2 linked regions of the Arabidopsis thaliana genome follow. The protein of the gene in region 2 interacts with the protein of the main gene of each other region in a pairwise test. Each region holds a gene or a part of one and is shown on either strand. Other genes may lie near its edges.

What was found.
Region 1: the proteins of WRKY75 (region 2) and AT1G35560 interact in binary tests that used the Arabidopsis thaliana proteins (3 or more experiments, as listed by UniProt).

What each region holds. Positions count from the first base shown.
Region 1 is NC_003070.9:13,115,318-13,119,235, reverse strand, and holds AT1G35560 (TCP family transcription factor), read left to right. Parts: upstream 1-2,000; 5' UTR 2,001-2,111; coding exon 2,112-3,137; 3' UTR 3,138-3,410; downstream 3,411-3,918.
Region 2 is NC_003076.8:4,149,223-4,153,056, forward strand, and holds WRKY75 (WRKY DNA-binding protein 75), read right to left. Parts: upstream 1,980-3,834; 5' UTR 1,798-1,979; coding exon 1,538-1,797; intron 884-1,537; coding exon 706-883; 3' UTR 516-705; downstream 1-515. UniProt on the Arabidopsis thaliana protein: Transcription factor. Interacts specifically with the W box (5'-(T)TGAC[CT]-3'), a frequently occurring elicitor-responsive cis-acting element.

The DNA.
Region 1 (3,918 bases), on a different chromosome or scaffold from region 2:
TGAGAACTCATGAGATCATACCTACACACAAGACCAACCCAAAGCTAAAACCTGTAAAGCATGGGCTTTTTAGGCAGTAGATGATTCTAAAACAATTTAAAAGCACCATTTTAGAGATATATATGGTCGAAGAGTGATTAACACTTTCACTCTCTCACCATTTTATTTTATTTTTAACGTCTTGCCTACACATTTAAAACATTAATTGGTTGATACTTTTATACTTTTTTAAGCAATTAAAATAATTTATTTAAAAATAAATGTATATAAAAAAATATTAATAGTTTATTTCTTAGATACTCAATGAGTCTCCATCCAATGAAGGTGCTCTAACAGAATCTTGAACAAGGCTACATACTATATGGTCTTGTAAATGAACATTTTCACTTTTTGGAGAGAACAGAGACAAGACAATGGACCGTGGGAGGATCCAGAGTTTCAGACCAAACATCACGTTTTTTTATCACTCGCTTCTTGTACTTCTTCAACTATCTCTGACTGTTTTACTGTTTTCTTTCACTGCTAATGCTTACACGTGCATCTGTCTCAACAATTATTTTTCAGGAAAATAAAAAATAAGAGAGATTATATATACAGTTCAAAATATAATTGCATATATATATATATATATATATATAAATTATATAAAATATACTGTTCAAATATAAAGTTTTTTTTATAGTGGTTTGGTTTCACTTTCATTGTTATCTATAATTTAGCTCACGGTGCGTACATGTAACTTACATTAAGAACAGCCAAAAAGCTCAAGCTCGTGTCCAAATTAAGATTCCGAATGGTATAGCTAGCAATATAATATATTATATGGTTTTGGATTGATAAAAACATAAAACCTAATAAAGGAATTTAATTGATATAAAAAATGAAACAATAATACAGTCTAAATATTCAATTATGAATTAAAATATTGCAATAAATCAGTTAATAGGCATTAATACTAATATGATTATACATACATGGTTAATCACTAAGAGCAACGTGAATATCAATAAACTAATTGATTTACTACGCTTGCATAATTATTTTCCTTAAAACTTTTTGATTTCGAATACTTTGTTAACACCCTGATACATGTGCATATAACATAGTAGGCTGAAATTGGACTATTCTTAGACAGTTTTCACATCTAGAATGAGATGTATAGGTTTCGTTGAGAAAAATTGTAGTTGAGATGATTAGTTATATATAACCTATGTCTGTGGGTGCTAATTTGGCAGATGGGAAAAGAATTGAAGCCTTTATATATAGTCTTCAATTATTAGTATCATCGTTAATAAAAACAGTGGTCCTTATCTCTCAACAAGTCTTTCATCAAATTCGGATAACAAAGACAAAATAGAGAATCAAAGAAAGAGACATTTGTGTTATTATCAGTAAATTATTAAAAAAATAAATAATATTAAAACACTATTATATTGGGTGTAAATTGGCTCTATGATTAGTGATTAGTTTTTTTCTTTTCCCCCATAGAACATTCAACGTTTCCCACCCATGCAAAATCCAACCTAAAAGCCAAACTTTATAAGGAAACCAACAAATAGATCCCTACAATCTAAAGATTGCAACAAAAATGCCCCAAAATTATAATCTTAGACAATCCACACCTTTTTCAATCATGTAAAACACTTCCAAACTTTTCATAGTCCATTGCTAAAAATAGTTTTAGTCTCACAAAGTTAGACCAAAATTCAATACATTCGGCGCATAATTATTTTTATACTACAATATAGTAAGTGTGATAATAACCAAACAAAAAAAGGTTAAGTGATCATTTGGTGTGGAAACAGCAAATATTGGTCTCTACTCTCTACTACAAAAACCTAGTGGGACTACAAATGAAAATAAAACACAAAAGAAAAAGAAAGTGAAAGTCTCTCTCTCTTTTCTACAAGCTGCTTCATCTTCTTCCTCTCACTCTCTCTTTCTCCAAACAAGTAAACAACAGTCAACACAAACTCATAGCCCCACCAGAAAAAAAAAATACTCCAAGAATTTATAGGTTATAAGTAAAAATTCAGTACAAGTTTGTTTGTTTGTTTATTCCATTTTCTTGTGTGTTTTTTTCCCCATAATTTATAAATTTTATAAGCAATATGGAGTCCCACAACAACAACCAGAGCAACAACAACACCACTGGTTCGGCCCATCTGGTCCCATCCATGGGACCAATCTCCGGTTCAGTCTCATTAACCACCACTGCTCCAAACTCCACTACCACCACCGTCACCGCCGCTAAAACACCCGCAAAACGACCGTCCAAGGACCGTCACATCAAAGTAGACGGACGTGGCCGGAGGATACGTATGCCGGCTATCTGCGCAGCACGTGTCTTCCAACTAACACGTGAGTTACAACACAAATCGGACGGCGAGACTATAGAGTGGCTGCTCCAACAAGCGGAGCCAGCTATCATCGCAGCCACCGGAACTGGAACCATACCGGCGAATATCTCTACTTTGAACATCTCTCTTCGAAGCAGTGGCTCTACTCTTTCAGCTCCACTGTCTAAATCTTTCCACATGGGAAGAGCGGCTCAAAACGCTGCCGTTTTTGGGTTCCAGCAACAGCTTTATCATCCTCATCATATCACGACAGATTCTTCTTCTTCTTCTCTTCCCAAAACATTCCGTGAAGAAGATCTTTTTAAAGATCCTAATTTTCTAGATCAAGAACCCGGTTCAAGATCACCTAAACCGGGATCCGAAGCTCCTGATCAAGATCCGGGTTCGACCCGGTCAAGAACACAAAATATGATACCGCCGATGTGGGCACTAGCGCCAACGCCAGCCTCCACAAACGGAGGTAGTGCTTTTTGGATGTTACCAGTCGGAGGAGGAGGAGGTCCGGCTAACGTTCAGGATCCATCACAGCACATGTGGGCGTTTAATCCGGGTCATTACCCGGGTCGAATCGGGTCGGTTCAGCTAGGGTCTATGTTAGTGGGAGGTCAACAGTTAGGGTTAGGTGTTGCAGAAAATAACAATTTGGGGCTATTTTCCGGCGGAGGAGGAGACGGTGGTCGGGTTGGTCTCGGAATGAGTCTTGAGCAAAAGCCTCAACATCAAGTGAGTGATCATGCTACTAGAGACCAAAATCCTACTATAGATGGTTCTCCTTGAAAGACTTCATGATTTCTTTGGTTTTTAAAAAGTGTGAATGTGTGATTTATTGCAACTTTTGTTGAGGACTCCAATGTTAATATGGGTTTTAGGGTTGGCTTTTCGGGATTGCCAAATTGTTATTTAAGAAAATGGATTTATTGTTTTGGTTGCATAATAATTAACGAGTTTTGCAACTCTTTTTATTCGATGCAAAAGCATGTCACTTAAAGGAAATATAGTTGAATCTCTATGTGTAACATAATGGACAAAAGAATAAATTAAATATTTATCAGAATGCCTTTTCTCTTTTGTTGAAGGGTATAATTGAATACACCTTCTTTGACCGCTCATATATTTCAAATATTTCGAATTGATTGCAGTTCGTAAAAAGCTAACGAATATAAATAAAAAATTATATGGTGTAGACTGTAGTGATAAACTTTATTGGGTGCATGAGCACCACATGTTTGGATACAAATGGGTTTTTAGATTTATATATTAATTCTCTTTTAAAATTCGTATTTTGTCTATCATACTTTTGTAGTATCTACCAAAAAATTGTCCACTTGTGGAGCAACATGGACACGTCAGAGAGAACTCCTATGCCACAGTAAATTCCAATGTGTTTGAAAAATAGGCTGGACGGGTAATCAGGCGAAATGCCGTTTTTAATGTGACTAGGGGTTAGCCCGGATATATATTTTGATAATTGATATTTTCAAGTTAGTTGATATAGTTTAAAAAAAATATTGGATTTGATTTCGGAAGTGTATATAATAGATGGTTTATTGGGATTTTT
Region 2 (3,834 bases):
ACTGAAAGTTGAATTGTGAAGCTTTTATCCAAATTTTTGAATCCAAATCCAAACGGTTTGCATCTTGATATTGATAATAAAGATTTCAGGCTCAATTACATACATTTACACGAAGATGGTTGGTTACATGCAAAAAAGACACTGGATTACTCAAGAACTGATGCGACGGTGCTGAAGAACAATGACTCTCTTGTCACTGTTTCAAGAGCATCATTGCTGATAGCAGAATTAACTAGCAAAATGGGTTTATTTTGTTACTGATTTAATTTTAAGAATTGTAAAGTCATTTTCTCCGTTGATATTTTTTACTTTCTTGTCACTTACCTAGCTAACTTTCAGATTCCCATACCTCATGTAGTTTTCTTACAACTTTCGGTGGGTAGTTAGAGACTATGACATATCTTATTAACGCCTAACCATTAGTATTACTATTTATCAGATAACCGTAATAATATGTTTAGCAACAGTTGTTTGAAATTTAATATGTGCATTATATGCTGCTATCAGTAATAGACTACACTCAATTTTTGAAATTTTTATTAAAAATTATTAGGATACAAACTTCAGCTGATCATCAGATCATGCATGGTTTTTCTTTTCAACACACGTAAAATGTAACATTCTAATTTTTGTAAATAATTTACAACATGAGCTCTAAGAATTATAGGCTCTAAAATAAGGTATAAAAGATTTTGAGAGAATTAACTAGAAAGAAGAGTAGATTTGCATTTGAGTGAGAATATGCTCGAAGTTTTCGGTGGATTTCTCGATGGGATGCGAATGCACTCCTTCGTAGGTTGTCACGACCACTTCTTGGTCCACTGTTAATCTTTGCACTTGCTTCTTCACATTGCATCCTCCATATGTACACCTATAGTAACTCCTGCACATTTATATATATAAACCATTAGTTATATTTCAAAACACTTCACTTCTCTATATGCAAATAACTGTTTTTGAATCTCTTAGAAGAGTAATTAACTGTCACATATATGTTCCCGAATCCAAATTATAAGAAGAAAAATGTCTACCAAAAGACTTTCATTTTTAATCGCTGATTGTTAGCTACATAGACTAGAAAAAAAAAAAATCAATATCCATATCCATATCCCAATCAATTAGTAAAGATCAATCTAGAATAAAATGTGAATAGGATATACATATATTCATCGAGTCTTTTAGAAGAGTAATTAATCATCAAATTTCTTCACAAAAGCACATTTCTATGATTTGTTGACCAAAAGTGTATTTATATTAAATATTGATTAATTATTAGATAGAGAAACAAATAGATCATGTATCTCGGCTAGCTATAGAAGATGAAAACGATAAATTAATCAAAACACATATTGCAGAATAGTTAAGATCAATCTAGGGCCGATGTGAATGATACATATACACATTAATTGGAGATTGATTCGAATTGGCTAAAGCATATATATGCATGTCTAACTCTTAACTCTTTCTTTATATGTTCGATAAAATATATAGCAATTGTAAGCAATGAATAAATAAGAAGGGAGAATTGAAGAAGAACCTAGGGAACTTGTTGTTCTTGACGGCCTTTTGGCCATATTTCCTCCATCGATAACCATCATCAAGAATATCCACTTGGCTCCTTGTTTGAAACGCATACCTTTGTTTCTTCCCCTTCTTTTTCGACGACTCCACGCTTTTCGAACAACCTTCTGATCTAACCTTTGAGCTCTCTTCTTCGCCTTGATGCAGCTCTGGTTTCGAATGAGATTTCAACGACAAAAAAGGAGCATACAACGACCCATTATCATATCCCTCCATATTCCTAATTATTTGTGGAATCTTGATTATAACAACGAGACAGACCGATCCACCTGAATTCCAAAAGAAGAAGAATTTTGTTCCTCTCTTTTTGTTTGATAATTGATTGGAGTTTGTTAAGATATCTTTGTGAAAACATAATAAAGTTTAGTCTAAAATATATAGACATATTTATGGTAGACTATGAAGTCAAAGACGAAGAGGCGGCCCTCTGCTAATCGTTAAAGAGGGGTAGTGTCGTAGACGACACGTAAGGATTAAACATTTTACATAATTACATTTGTAAGATAATGTTTTATGTACCCCTAATCTTATTTCTTAAAAGATATAGGCAATTTTCTCAAGATAGTTTACTGAGTTTTCACGAGTAATAATCAATTAAATGTATATATATATGGATAAGGATCAGATCTACACAAGAATGTATGCTATTGAGAGTGCTTTGAAACTGCGCATTAATAAAGATTTTGTAATAGATATTGCAAATTAGGAAGGAAAGACTTATTGGTGATCTGACGTAAGAATCAATTACTCACTCTGCTTTTCGCGATTCATTGAAGTAGAATAACCAAAAAAACGATGCATGCACCGACGTAGAACACAGAATTTTGGATTGTGGAAGATTATTACGAACGGACGAATGATCTCTCCAATGACGTCGTGTACGTGTTACGTTTTTCTTTTATCCGAACGTCATATGAGGTTTACGTTTTTTTTTTTGTCGAACGTCATCATTTTATCCGTGCATATAATAAATGCATACTTCTTTGAATTGATCAATCAAAGTCTTCAATGTTTGAATCCACACATATAAAATTGTTAGATTGGCTCTTAAACACACTACAAGTCGTTTTCGATATTTGTATATACAAATACGAGTTTATCCTTGGACCATCTAATTTATTGACTATTTACACACGTGGAAAAAAGAGAAGTAGTTTGAATCTGTTCTTCGTTCCATTGCTTTCTAAAACAAAGAATAAAGATGTTGATGTCGTTGTGGTGAGATACGGTTATAACTTAATATAATACCGATTCCATGATGAATAAATACAGTTTTTGATGGTTTTATTGAATAAATACCAAGATATAACTAATGACGTATATCGACACAATTGACAGAGAGATCATAAACATGATCACCACAGACGCAAACGATTCCGCAACTTTTTTGGCCAAAGATTCAAAACAATAGGCCCTTACTCAGTAAAGCTAAACTCTTTTAATTTTTATAATGATAACAACATTCATAGCAAAAAAAAAAAAGCTTAGGACGAGTATATTGCTACTTTTTTCTTCTTCATTGGCTTAATGAGAAGTAAAGTACTTTTCATGGTTTGTTTTCGGACGTCAGTGTATATTCATTCGTATGTAGTTGAGGAATTTTGGTCAAACTTTAAGTCCTTGTAGAAGGTAAACAAAGAGGCGCAAACGTGTTTGATGATTATTCTTCCGAGGTTTGAAGTTGAAACCATTTACCAATTATTAATCAATTTCAATTAGGAAAACAAAAGTAGCTCACCATTTACTGTTGTTAGTCCATGTTTGATTGACCATTCAAAAGCACAAAGTAAAAAGAAAAGGTTGGACAATTATCAAAGAGATCAAATGTTTGAATATTATATAACCCCTAAGAAAATTCTTGGAAGACGCACGTGTTCTTTTGCAATCTCACTTTTTTTCTTTCACATCTCGCAGCCTCTATATCTTTTTGGAAAAGAACATTAATGAAAAAAGTACTCAAGGGATGGGTGCTAAAAAAAAAGGGTTGGGTGCTTTGTAAGATTTGGGCCTGTTATGTGGGCCAATATTTGTTGTTAGGCTCAACAAGCCTTTGGCAGTTAAGTACAAGTTTATTTCTTGTTTTGGGTTGAGAATCAGAGTTTTTGGTGAGTGATTTAAGAACTAAGTCAAGGTTTGTGACAATTGACAAAGTAAGAACAGATTTGATTGGTAAAACAGGTAGCTTTGGGCCCAACAACAACAAGAAACTGATTAAAGTTTTGTTCAAGCCTTGGTTAAATTTGGCAATTTTGG